2 linked regions of the Oreochromis niloticus genome follow. The protein of the gene in region 2 purifies or fractionates together with the protein of the main gene of each other region. This does not show direct contact. Links are inferred from orthologs where the notes say so. Each region holds a gene or a part of one and is shown on either strand. Other genes may lie near its edges.

Region 1 (7,274 bases), on a different chromosome or scaffold from region 2:
TTTTATTGCGACACCACGAAACAAACGATAGCTTAATATGAAACGATAGATGTTTTCATATTGTCATCCGATATATATGGTTATATTGAACAGCCCTAGCATGTATGTAAAATTAATATTACACTCCTCTTTTGTATGCATGTTTCTACTTGGATTTCTACTTTATTATTATAGTCAGCAGCATTTAGAAGTGCTTACATAACTTAAAGGCTTTAAGAATGCCCCGCCCAACATTTGGATCAGATATTCATCTCATCCTGACTCAAAAAGCTGGACTGGATAGTGGTGACAACCTCCTGATACATTTTACATTGTTCTGTGTTTACTACACACTGGTTGCTGCAGAGAGCTATCATAACGTGGAGAATGCCAACAGGAAAGACCTAGCATTTTGGAGACATTGTACTCCTGCTACACAGATTTTCTTTGCATGTTTGGAATAGTTGTTTTTTTGTTTTATTTAAGTGTTTTTAAAATTAAACAGTGGTCAAGTGAGTCAAAGAGACAATGTCAATGATGTATCACTAGCCCACCTAAGGCCCAAGATGACTCCCAGCTGAGGCTAACCAGCTGGCATTAAACACCAATAATAAGAAACTTACAATAACCTACATGCATTTAGAAATACCACACATACAAAGAGCTCAAAGAGTGACCTTTCTTTAAAGAACAAAAAGGCACAAGTTCTCACTTATTACTATTTTAACTGTTCAACTTATATCCATCCAATGATGTCTGTTAATATAACAGACATCATTGAAAAATAAACTCCCCAGTCTCTTTCTCATCACCAACTGGGTATGCAGACGTGCATCTAGGCTAACATGACTCTACTACTTAATCTGTTCCTCATAATTAGAACTAGGCAATAAAACCAATTAATTATTATGCAAAAACTTTTTAATAGCATTATAAAACATGGTCATTATAAAGGTGACAGCTTATTCCATCCACGTTTTGACAGACAACATGAAAAGGCAATGACAATGACTGAAGTGCTGCTATTGGCTGGAATTAAACTAAGCTGCAAATTCCTGGTTTTTCCCATGTTAAGAATGTGTGTAGTACAAATACTCTGAAGGAAATGCTCTTATTTGTACACGTTTTTCAGTTTCTGTTGTTAAACAACTTCAGTAACATGCAATAGAAATATGAAAAAGTGACAAACAATACCCATCAAGACCAATGTAAATACCCTTTATTTTCAAGCCATCTTTCAGTCCACTTCTCTTCAATGCTAGAGCCCTGACTTAATGATATGATTATGATGTCTGATTAAATCCCTGTGAAAATGTGTTAAAGTCTTAGCTTTTCTGTGATTTCATCTATATTCACATAAGTTTGAAGTTACATTAAACTAAAGCTTCTTGTTAGCAACTATTCTGAATATTTGTTGTTGACACTCTTGAGATGTGTGCCAGTTCCGTACATTACTGTACATTACTGAGAGGTATTAATCCATTCCCATTTCTTTTTATTTTGCTTTCAAGGAGGTAAACCTTCTCTTAATTTTTAAACCAGCTTTGAGCTGTACTTCTCCAGATAAATCGCTTAGCAAAGACCTCATTTAAAATTGTATGCATCTTTAAACACTTTGTGACTAGCAGCCTCTCATCATTTGCCCTATTCATTGATTTCCCACCTAAAAGTTCTTCTAATTACCAGTTCTGTACCACAGACAACCTATAATCACAAGCTCACCCACTGTACAAAGCACCTTCCTACTTATATTCAGAACAGTGACTTGTTACTAAGAGACTGTAGCAACTGCGTGTGATAAACATACAGGATACCGGCTGCTGTGAATCCCAAACTACTTTGGCAAATCAAGTGTGGCTAGACATCTGGATGCCGATTATATTTCTGCTATTATGAATTTTGTGTTAACTCAGCAATGCAGCTGACACATCAACTACACCACACTCACACTATAAAACGCCTGTATTTTGATAAAACTATCACTCCCAAAAACAGTTTAACATACGCCAGAGACCGAAAATAATAAAAATACCGTAGGCACATAAACATTACGAGCCCGTAATAAAATCAATCTAAATACCAACTCTACCTACATTTCAGGCCTATGTAGTGCAACTATACACATGCAATAAGATATCACATTTTAGTTGGGTGGTAATACATAATATTCACCCAGAATCACCTGGTTCATCTGGGCTTGACTATCAGTTCCGAACCAACAGACTGAGCGGTTTAAAAAAATATTATTTCCTTAAGCATGTGTAAAGGCAGTCATTCAACGCAATCGTTATTGGTTGTATTTCATTTCAGCTAACCAACATTCGAACGCAAAGTTAACATTTCTCAAAAACACAACGGCCCAGTTAGATACGGTTAGCTTTCATTTCGGCTAAACACGAGTCAAAATAGTAGCCCTTTTTAATTCACGTCATTACCCTTTCGTTTACATCCTAAGGCCCAAACCTATCTACCACTAACGGTGCAGGCGTTAAAGACAACACACCGGTACAAGGAACGTCACTAGCTATTGTTAGCTAACCCAGTACTATCGAACTCAACCAGTTACCTAATATATGTCACATATGAGGGTAATATTAACTGGCTGACAGGTTTGACAAAAAAATAAAAGTATGATTCCGAGGTACCTTAAAATAATGTGCCATGTTAACGTTAGCCTCCTCTTAGCTTGAAAAACCACAGTCTGACAGCGCAGTGATAAGATGGCCAAGTATGCTCTTTGCTAGCCAGCTAACGTTAGCCGGCTATCTAAAGACTGCTGGCTAATCGTCTCTTCAGCACCAAGTGTATGAGCTTGCAATTGTACCTACCAATAGACAAGGGTAAACACCAACTCTCCAGCATGTAGCTTATCTTAACATTAGCGTCGGACCTTAGCGATACTAAGACAGAGCTAAGATTAAATTTTGGTAAGGAAAATAAAGCCTTTAAAACTGTTTCTAACAGGCGCGAAAATGTAGATCTTCGGAGGGCACTTTTCAAGATGGCGGTTCCGTCAACTTCATCGACCCCTTCCCCCACTCCAGCTGCAATGTTTGTCAATCAAACGATTTCCGCAAAACTATTGGTTGTGAATCCCGTCGCTCAAACAAGGCCGTAAGCTTTTATTGGATATAGTGCGTGTCTCGTCAAGACGTCATTTACACAGAGTATGTGTATAGTGTCCCGGAAGAACGGGGTTTATACTGTTTATCGAATTTTAAGCAAAACAGTTAGACTCATGTGGTAACACAACAAATTGAAGGTTTAATGTAGTGTAATTCATCTAATTGATAACTATATTTGGGTAAACTGCGGGTAATATAAAACCTTCACCCCGCACGCACGTTTGCTTTGAATTTTAAATCGAGCACACTAAGTAGCGTACAAGCACGCCCACGTCTCGTTCAAGAAACGCCCAGTTGAGGGCGGTAGTGTAAAGAGCGCAGACCCTCGTTACCTAAAGCGAACGTGTGTTTATCTTATCTTTTAGGTATGTGTTAGTGTAATTTTATTTACATGGCGACAGTTAACGACAACAGTAACCTCAAAAACGCTTTATAATGTCAGTTTAAATGGTATATCAGAGAATGACATATGAGCAGCACTTGATAATGTGCTATTATCATGTGTTATTAAATTGAATTATCAGTGAAAAGAAGATTCTGCTCAACTTTCAGTTCACTGGACTAGCTACAGGAGAGAGCACCGAACTTCTCAAGTTGCTTGTTGCTGCCACATTAGTGAGGACTGTGGAACAGCTCAGAGTCAGTTTGATACTGATCAAACTTTTGCAGCTGATCAAACACACAAACCCACACATGTGCAATAAGACTGCTATATGTGCAATTCTTCTTCTGACGAAGTTGTGTTTTTGTATTTTCCTACTCAGTTGTATATAGTATTTGTATTTGTATTTTATTCTATTGTATATATTATTCTATTCTATTTTATTCTGTTGTACATAGTATTTTATTTTATTTTATTTTATTTTATTTTATTGCATTCCAGTGTTTTCTAATTTCTGCTACATAACTTTGCACTTTTGCTGTAACAAAACAAATTTCCCACCTGTGGGACTAATAAAGGCCATCTTATCTTATCTTATCTTATCTTATCTTATATTGAATTCATTTTTTTCTCACGTTTGCACTGACTTGCTCACTATCGCTCAGTTTACCGGTTGGAAAATCTTGCACACATACACCGTTTGTCTTTTTAAAGGATGATCGAAACTTTTGGGCTTTCTAAAATGGCATCAGTGATACATCAACTTAAAATAAAATGTATGTGGAATTCATTCTCAGTTGTTTTGTGGCTTCAAAAAGGGTTATATTATTAAAGCACTGCAAATTCCTCAAGAATAATTCATAATAAATATCACTGGTTCAAATTTGATTTTCACTTCTTTCTTTTTCTTCTTTTTACTGAAACCTCACTAACTATGGGGACATCCAACAGCGTCGTTGATGGCTTACTTTATGTTGCAATTAATTGCAACAATTTTGAGCCAGCACACTGAGCTTCGATTTGATGAAAGAATAGTTACTGAAAGATGTTTCAGTCTCACCAACCCGCATTTCTCTAACGTGTGCCGCACTTCACAGTTTCACTTCAAGCTGAAGGCCTCCAATACTGCTTTTAGAAACTCTGATGAACACCACAAGCAGCCCGCAGTCTGAGAGAGGAGCGTTCTTTTACAGTCGTTAGACTATGCATATATAGTGATGTCTAATATTGCTCTTAACGTTTCTTGTGATCCACATCCTCACTTGTTTTTTCCATTTACAAAAATTTAATCACAAATTTTATTTCTCCCGTCTTTTCTTGGGACTCTAAACGCAGCACTTGGCTGGCACAAATCCCCGTTCGCTAATCGCTTCTCATCAGATCTTCGGGATTCAGACGTCATGCTTTCATCCGTCAGAGGTAACGGAGCATAACGTGAATCCGCAGTCCAGGGAACAAACATACAGACATCAGCAGCAGCAGCAGCTAGCTCAGTGATGATGAACATGGATTTAAGTGCCGTTATAGAGGAGATGGAGACGGGCGACCAAGACTCGGCTCTGACGGCTTTACAGAGCTACAACAAGCAGGTAAACACCAGCCCTGCAACATCGGGAGGAATCAGTGCGTTGTAACACAGCTGTTTGAGTTTATGAAATGCTTTCCATTCAGATGATGATCCTGAAATAATTTCCAAATCAGAACTGTTTTCAAAAGTAGAGCCTTTAATATATTAAACGGGGTTTAAAGCTGCATTGTACACCTTATAAATAGCCTATACGATATTGTGTATTGAGCCACCCCTTCTTCTTCTTCATGTTTTGCTTTCACGGAGCCAGATTTCCTCGTAATTTTTAAAGGGATATTAAGCAACAGTTCTCAAGGAGTTCTCGGGGTCTTTCAAAGTTCTTCTTTGGACATTCGCTGCTTTTCACTCATTTTCAGCCCAGTCCTTGTACCTGACAGATTTTTGACCTGACAGCAATGTGTTTTTGATGGTTAAGCAACTGAGCACTGACCTATGAGTCATTCAAGCTTAAAAAACATCTAACTAAAGGGATGAACCAGTACTGTGTCTGGAATTAAAGAGAACTTAAAGATCCAAATATAAATTGTGTCGCTAGGAACTTTGTTACAAATAACACATTCCCGTTTCTTTAGCCGATTCTATAAACATGACACATACCTGAGAGATGCATCTGACCCTTGATCCATCTACTGTTCACCAAAGAAATGGTCTCAGTGGAAAGGTGGCTGTCAACAACGCATTCTTACACCAAACTACACAAAAACTGGTGTGAAAATCAGTAGCAACAGGTCTTATTGAGTGATGAATCCAAAGTAGATATCTTTGGTTCCAATCATTGCCAGTGTGTATGGAGGATGTCAGGGCTGCAACAAGGGTACAGTGAGTGTCTATAGTCACTGGTAAAATATGGAGGAGGCATGTCATGATTTGGGGCTCATTTCAGCCAGTGGTGCTGGAGATCTTGTCAAAATTCATGTAATTATGAATGCAAAAAATCCACAGTGCAATACCATCTGGAAAGTGTGCGATAGTGGCTTAATTTTTCACTTTTTCAATGATAAAGCGAATATGCTGACAATGCAGTAAAGGCATACCTGGATAGAAGACACACTGAAATGCCGTCACAAATTTCACTGGATGTGGATTGGCCTCCCAGGAGCCTGGACCTCAACATTATTCAAGTATTGCTGGATCTGCTGTTGGTGCTGGGAAATTGGTAGAACCACCCATATCATAAATTACCTAAATGACTTAATAAATAATAAATGAATATTAGATAGGATAAAACATGCTTTATTTATCCCAAAGTTGAGACATTCATTGCACCAAAATAATAATTTTAATAATAATAATGATGTGGCATAAGTTGACAGTAAGTGTAATTTATTTAGCTGCCTATTAATTCCCTCTTTACCCTTTGAACTTCTGTGGTAGTTTAGTTCCAAGTATTATTATGTGATCACCAACATGCAAAGAGTTGAGCCTGACACAGTCTGAATTGCAGGCAAGTCAGTTTCATAATGTGGTAGAAAATCAGAAAGAAATGTAGAAAGAAAAGAGAGAAATATTTGTTTTTGAAAATAATTATTTTTAATTAATGCGAGCCACTGATTGTAAAAATAGAAATGGGAAATGCAAGTTAGTTTTGTCACAAATATCTACATCCATTGCATCCATTTTCTGCCACTAATCCAGGTTTGTGTCACTAGGCCAGAAAAAAAAGCCCAGACGTCCCTCTCCTCAGCCAGCCACAGTTTATCCAGGGGGACACCAAAGCCTTCCTTAGCCAGTCAAGACATATAATCTCCCCAACATTTCCAGGGCCTTTGTTCTGAGATTAAATCCTCATTTTCTTGGAGAATCTGACATATACATATCTCGTAACTCAGGCCATCTAGAGAGGTTTCTTTATTTCACTGTGCTCTTTCAGTTTTTATAACATGTGTGATTTCCTTGTAACTCTGATACACCTTGGGAAGGAGTCAGTGTCAGGACACTGAAGAGTAATGGGAAAGAGCGCTGTGGGAGTTTTTAAATTAATGTAATTAATGGATTCATCGCTTAGATACAGAGAAAAAAAAGAGGACAGAGAAGCAGAAGCAGTTACTCGAAGATAATGAGCTCACGTTTAAGATCAGTGCTGAGGTACATCCAGTAAAATGTCAAAGATTTCAGCTGCAATGTTTAGTGATATTACAGATATTTTATTTCTATTTTAAATTCAAGCTTATCATAACACATTATACTACTTCCCTTAAAC
Region 2 (7,084 bases):
TCTCTGTAGAGTTCACTATTAGACCCCAAAATACAAATACTTGATCGATCCAACTTCATAAATGAGCCAATATCACAGTTGTGTTTCCTTTATTTTGTTTTTTTAACGTTCAAGTGTAGCTAACTGGATGGATGTGGACTCTAAGTTTAATACTTACCCAGTCCATATTTATCAGAGTAGTCCACCCATTTGCTGATCCAGAAGATGGGGATGCATGCAGGATCCTCTGCCTCCTCTGTTTATTAAAAGAATTAACATCTCTGTATGAAGCACTGACACAGACACATAGATTTTCCAGCTTAATAAAATGTACAACACAGTCATAAAAAGTCAGCGCTCACCTTGGCGGACGACTGCCTTCTCAGAAGGCTTGGCAGCAATGATGGTGTTGAGCTGCTGCAGCATGTCTCTGAGGTGGTTCTCCGACGGTTCAACCTCCCTACACGCAGATTACACCAGTCAAAACATCCAAATACATAAATGTGTCACAGAAAGCAAACCTGTCCTTTATAAATATTTCCATTATTTCAAGTGGGACAAACATCTCACCGTGGTGCAGGCTCGTCCTTCATCTCCACCTTCTCTGTCCCTACTGGAAACACAAACCCGTATCATTAACATTCCTGCAAACACTAAAATAATTCAACTCCAATATTTCAGCCTTGCTTTAAACATCTGAAGAGTTGGGGCTTCTTTCAACTCTAGTCCTGCTGGGAGGATTACCTTTGTTATTTATAGCTGTCAACGGGCGCCTCTGGCTGAGCTCGGTACTTGTGGAAGGGGCAATAGAGAACCGCGGGGGCACCGTGAGACAAGTCGTGGGCAGGCGCAAGGGGATGTAGCCGGACGTGATGAACTCATCCGCTTGCAGCTCAGCAATGGTGGGCCTCTGGGTGGGATCGGCATGCAGCATCCTTTTGATGAGGGCGGTCGCTGCTGGGTTGATGTGCTGCACGAAGACAATTGCCGTTTAAGTTGATACGACTTAAACAAAAAAAAGCATCTTTGTATACAAACTTTTTTTTCTTTAAAAAGGAGCATCGTGTTAAACCGCCTCACCCAGGGGATGGTGTAGTTGTTTTTCTTGATGCGGTTGTAGGTCTCCTTCAGACAGGAGGTCTCAAATGGAGGCTTGCCCACCAACAAAGTGTACCTGAGAATTCAGACAAGAAGGAGGTTAAAGTGACTGTGCAGATTTTTGTTTTTTAAACAACTTTTAACTTTCTAATACATCATTAGAAGTATTTCTTGGGGTAAAATATAAAACCATTAGGACTCATAGGGCTGCATTTTGTAAAAAGACAAAAAACCCTAATTAAACATGAGCAGATGTGCAAAGCTTGGCATTGGCATCAGCCGTAACACCTCCGTTTCCAGGTGTGCTTGTGTATTTAGACTTACAATATACACCCAAGTGACCAGACATCCACTTCATAGCTGTGGCCTTTCTTGCAGAGCACTTCAGGAGCTATGTAGTTAGGTGTTCCACACAAGGTCTTCTTCCGCTCACCATCAAACTCAATCTTTGTGGCAAGGCCAAAATCCCCTGTTTTAAAAGAAAAAAGGGGGACATAACTGTAAAGAGGCACACTTGTGTGCAAAAGTTCATTCTTGAAGTATGAGAAATTACTGACGCAAGGACCTGGGTGTGCCTTTTCTAGTAAAACCAGCAGGTTAGTTTGAGGTTGCTAATATATCCAGTTGACATTTATAGCCCCTGCCATCATTCTGAGCTGAGCAAATTACCTATCTTGACGTCCATGTCGTCGTTGAGGAAGATGTTGCCCAGTTTCAGGTCTCTGTGGATCACTTTGTTGTTGTGCAGGTACTGGACACCCTTGAGCAGCTGAGTCATGTAGTATCGGGCCTCGGGCTCTGTGACAGCCTTACGACGCTTGTGCAACTCCAGCAGGGACTGAAGTGGAGAAGAAAATGATTTGAAACTGGGGCACTGAGACAGTAAAGCAGCAGAGAGGCAGTACTGAGGCACATTTTTAACAAAAATCAAGTACATCTGACGGTAACCATGTCAGTGTGGAAAGAAAAGATTTTAAAAAAGTACTAATGCCATCAAAATACTGAGTTTAGGAATAGTGGCTCATTTGAATTATGTTCAGAGCTCCTGTGGTTTTAATCAGGCCAAGCTTCCTGCACTGTGACGGGAAGGCCATGGGAAGAGACCGCCAGGGTAACCGTTGGCCGTCCACAGTTAACAGAAAGGACACTTTCTCTGCACTCACCCTTCTCCTGCAGATTTCCAGGACGACAAACACAAAATCATCGTCCTCGAAGAACCCGTGGAAGCCCACGACGTTGGGGTGGTTGAGGCTTTGGTGAATGGAGATTTCCGAAGTCATCTTCTCCCTCTGGTGCTGCTTCAGGATCAGCGATTTGGGCACGATCTTTCCGGCGAAAACCTGCTTTGTCTCCACGTCTGTGATTTCGTAGCATTTTGCAAATCCACCTTTCCCGAGGAATCTCCCCCTCGTGTATCGTCTCATGGTGCGTGGGTCGACCAGAACATCAGGGATTTCTTTTAGAGTGGCCGATTTTGGGTCGACGTGCGGCATCGGGTTCGCCGGCTTTGCAACACCAGCGCTCATTTTGGATTAAAGTGCACTTAGCCGGGAGTAAAAAGAAACGTTTTAAAGCCCCTTCGCAATCGAGGTATTAATGATAAACCCCAAGAAAGAGAGTATTGTTAACCCTACCTTAACTGACGTTAGTTTGGCCTTGGAAGCTAGCGTGCTCCCTGCACTTCTGGATTTAAATAAAAACTAGCTCTAATACACTTTAGACGCCTTTTTTTACTTAAACATTGCATTGACAATTAAAACGCAGTGCAACTAGACTATAAATCTTTTTTGAAAAACGAAAATATTCAATAAAGTAATCGCCAGAGTTGTCCGTCGATGGCTACAGCGTTAACCCGTCCTGCCTTTTGACAACAGTTTCTCCTAAAAGTTTAAAATGCTGCCTCGGTCGTTACGGTGCTCTGTGATTGGTCCGCTCGATTTGAATTCTAAGGTATTGCAGCAAAGCATCATGGGAGATTAAGGCAAAAATAGCCAATAACTAAATGAGTACGTCACATTCTGCATTGTTATTGGCTGAATCCCTGTTGTTGGTTTCTTATTGTTTCCTTTAAGCGAGTACTGATGGGAAATGTAGTCGGGGTGGGCTTTAATCGTGACATACGTCCGTTTTTTTTCTTTCTTCTTCTTCTTTTTTTTTTTTTACCCAAGTAGATAACGTGAATTTAATGGTCATTTGATTGTTTTCTTTTTCTTCTTCTTTTTTTTAACTAAAACCCCTGAATAAATAGTCGTCATCGTGGATTGTTGTAACCGATTTAGTTTAGTCGAGGTAGCAGTCTATAGGCTAACTTATATGAGACTCAGTATAATTTGTAGATTTACTTCACTGCAATAACCTTTGCTTATTTATACGCTGACCTCACTAGTTTTCGGTAAGAATTGTTTCGTTATTACTCTTGTAATACTACTTTTCGTAATTATCAGTCGTGAGGTTGTCCAGTTTAATTAACTCTAACCAGCTACAACATGTAGACTGTACATTTATGTAAAACACACAACCTATTTTTATTACTGTTTTTAGCCAGTAGGGGGCACTGCCACGCCTATATCCTATCCAATAACTTCCCGAATGCTATAACTTTATACGGTCCCAATATTAAAATATGTTGAAAAGCAAAAATATGTTGATATCAATACCATAACAGATTGCTGTAGTTGAAGGCTGTAGTTATACAGTGGGCCAAAGGACTGAATTTCTTTGAATGGATTGTTCAAAAAGTGTTACCATATTTCCATTAAAACCTTTTCTGGATCAAGTATGATGAGTGTTAGTCAGTGCAATGTCTGTGTTTCATTAGTTTCATTAAAACTTTTGTGTACATTCAGGATATATTATGGTTCCACACAATTATTGATGGGATTGTCATTGCAACACCAACTAGACTTAACTTCAGGCAGAGCATTCATGAAAAAGGCAATGTAAATAATTTTTCACTGAAATTGTAACTATGGAAAGAAGAATTATCCAGAATTGTGTGGAGTGGAAACAAAATTTGTGGCAAACATGGTCCACCTTGTACGTCATGATCAACCAACCACCCAGGCCTTTGCTTCACCCCAGTCTTGACTCCATGGCTACAGCCTTGCTCTGCGTCATTGCCTGTAATGCCTTTTACTTCTAGCCTGCTGCTTCTACAATTACCACTAATGCTAGTTCTGGTAAATGACAATCATTATCACTCTCAATAAAAAAAATAAAAATAAGAAAAACAGGTATGTTGGCTTTACAAAAACCTTAATTGTTACAAAAGCTGATAAACGTTATATATAGTGCTGTAATATTCTCTGAACCCTCCACCCCTACAGTGAGGTGCACTGGTGGATCACTTATCCTGTGTGTGTGTGTGTGTGTGTGTGTGTGTGTGTGTGTGTGTGTGTGTGTGTGTGTGTGTTTCTGTTCGCCCAGAAAGGTTACTGTAAATCTATGCTTAGCTGTCATGAGTGTTCATCTCAGGCCTGATGAAACATTTCTGTTGTGATGGAAATAGTCTCTTCTAGCATCACAGCCTCCGTCCATAGTGCACTCAGTTGTTTCTCAAGTATGAAAATAATGGGATTCATCTTCATCCAAGACAAACACACATGGCATGTTTCAGAGATTTCTCTTAATCACATCATTGTCACCCATCTGTTTATATGTATTTTGAATCATTGTGCTTTTATTTATTCTGTATTTTTATCATCTTGTTTTATAAGATGTGTATATTGGTTTTCTTTTTTATTGATCTGATCCTTATCTAAATTACTGAGAAGACTGTCCAAGAGCACAGGTGTTCTTTTATTCTGCGCACGTGCAGCTGACAAATAAAGTAATTCAAACTTTAATTTTCCTGTTGTTCACTCTTCTTGGTAAAAGATAAACAAAAGCTTTTACTCCAATAGTGTGAAATTTTTGATGTGTAATGCTGCAGAATCATCCTTGTCAGGAGCCTCTGTTCTTTAGCCCTTGTGTGCTATATGGGCCTCTGCTCCTCATTCATATTAATGCTTTTGTGGCAGACACAATTAATATCTGCTTAGCAACAGATTATACAACTGACATGGTGATAAAGAGAGGAAAATAAGAGGAGAACAAGTGGATGAAGAGAGGACAGATGATGAGACCAGTGTGTTTGCTTAGCCCCTTTGTTCTACTTCATATAAGTGTCTGTGTGTGTGTCTAAAACGTCACGACACAGTTTCAAGCAAAGAAAGGAGCTATTTTTATGATGCACCATCTCACGCTAAGCCAAAAATGGCAGTTGTTGTTCATTATTACAGAAAAAGAAAAAATATGCGCATCGGCTTTGTACATCAATTTAATAACTCAGAGGAACAATTTTAAGATGTAAATCTTGGAAAGCTTGGAATGCCGGGAAGTTGGGAATAAATGGAAGAGACTCCCATCAGAAATATTTTCTCAGAGGATAAATTTGAATAGTCACAGTAATTTGTAACTGATTTTCAGTGTCCATTTTCTCTAAAAAAGTAGATCAAACCATATCACAACAGCATCAGCAGACCAATTGCCAATTGCTATTCTGGGCACGTCCGCAGGGCCCGTGTATATTTGGGGGCCCATCCAAGAGAAGATGAAATGAAAAAAAAGAAAAAAAAAGACCAGAACTGTATCATCTCAAACTTTACTCCTATTTTAACAAAACATAGATATACATATTCTTTTTAATTATAACTGGTAAAATCCAGTAGTTTTATTTTGTATTTGACCTGCCTTTTTCTAATTTTAATTAAGGAGCGAGGCTGCCTTCACAAGATCATTTATCCATTAATTTATTCATTCACTTATTTATTGACAAAAAAAAAGTTTACTAATTTTCTAAGTGGGGACCTCACAAAAGTGTTTTTTCTCATTAAAGCTCTCTGGGCTCTACTCTACTGTTTCAACACTCATCCGGGAGCGGGACTGTAGTAGTGCTGAAAGGAGGAAAAAGAGGAGACCACCAAACAGACAAAGGGAATAAGAGGAGAAAAAGAACATGTGTGTGTGCAAAAAGTCAGGATTTTCATTATATATTTAAAACTAAAACGTTCCCTTTGATGGTTACTTTAAATGGTAAAATGGTAAATGGCCTGTATTTGTATAGCGCTTTACTAGTCCCTAAGGACCCCAAAGCGCTTTACACATCCAGTAATCCACCCATTCACACACACATTCACACACTGGTGCCATCGCCAGTGTGTGATTCCTGTATGAATGTGAACCATCACAATCCTGTATGATTCTGATTATCGAAGAAAGAAAAAAGCTCTAGGGCCCATCAGACATTTGTGCACAGTGGTGTTTAACTTTATGATCCACGCATGGACAGACTTATTACAGATGTGCCAAGACCAGTGGAAAGTTTACAAATGAAGCACCGGACACATTTTAGAACAAAGTTATTTTACTGACACCATATAAAAATGTACACACAAAATAGGACTCAAATAAAGTGCATCATCCCGTTTGCTGCCCGTAAACTATGAGTATTACAGGCCCCGTGGCTTTCAGACACATTAAAGACCCGAGGAGCCTTCACCCATGAACAGGTGTGAAACTGAGCAGGCGCAGTCCAGCTGCAGCTGTTTCTACGACAGAACACAGCTGTGGTGCTTCTTCAGCGAGGGTCTCTTCCTAGCTCGGGGCCTAGGCACGGTGTCTCTGCGTGTCCACGCCGCGGGGCTCAGTTGTGCCGGCAGGTTCACCTGTTGCAGCAGCGAGCTAAACACCCCGACCGCGTTTCTGCCCGTGCTCGCGGACGCCTCCACGAAGTCTGCGCCCCACTCAGCCTCCACTGTGGCCATGGCGTCACCGGCAACCGGCGCTCGACCTTCGCTCTCGGTCAGATCCGCTTTGCTGCGGACCACGGTGATGGGCGCGCTCCTGCCGCCGCCGCGCAGCTCCAGAATCTCGGCGCGCAGTCGACGCACCTCCTCGAAGGAGCCAGGCTCGTCTGCCGCGTACACCAGGGCGAAGGCGTCGCTGTGTCGGATGCAGAGCTCCCGCA

The links.
Region 1: the proteins of plk1 (region 2) and ppp6r3 purify together in Homo sapiens (affinity purification with mass spectrometry; 3 studies listed by BioGRID and IntAct, with this or other methods). This does not show direct contact. The link is inferred for Oreochromis niloticus from reciprocal best matches to the Homo sapiens genes PLK1 and PPP6R3.

The regions. Positions count from the first base shown.
Region 1 is NC_031972.2:39,401,042-39,408,315, forward strand, and holds the start of ppp6r3 (serine/threonine-protein phosphatase 6 regulatory subunit 3), read right to left. Parts: upstream 3,020-7,274; 5' UTR 2,808-3,019; intron 2,757-2,807; exon of another isoform or gene 2,625-2,756; intron 1-2,624. Other genes in the region: ric8a (chaperone Ric-8A), read left to right, coding at 4,983-5,075.
Region 2 is NC_031971.2:12,089,816-12,096,899, reverse strand, and holds the start of plk1 (serine/threonine-protein kinase PLK1), read right to left. Parts: upstream 3,009-7,084; 5' UTR 2,712-3,008; intron 2,620-2,711; 5' UTR 2,604-2,619; coding exon 2,241-2,603; intron 1,916-2,240; coding exon 1,747-1,915; intron 1,547-1,746; coding exon 1,402-1,546; intron 1,154-1,401; coding exon 1,060-1,153; intron 950-1,059; coding exon 724-949; intron 593-723; coding exon 550-592; intron 440-549; coding exon 342-439; intron 236-341; coding exon 158-235; intron 1-157. Other genes in the region: GTP-binding protein Rhes-like, read right to left, coding at 6,666-7,084. UniProt on the Homo sapiens protein: Serine/threonine-protein kinase that performs several important functions throughout M phase of the cell cycle, including the regulation of centrosome maturation and spindle assembly, the removal of cohesins from chromosome arms, the inactivation of anaphase-promoting complex/cyclosome (APC/C) inhibitors, and the regulation of mitotic exit and cytokinesis.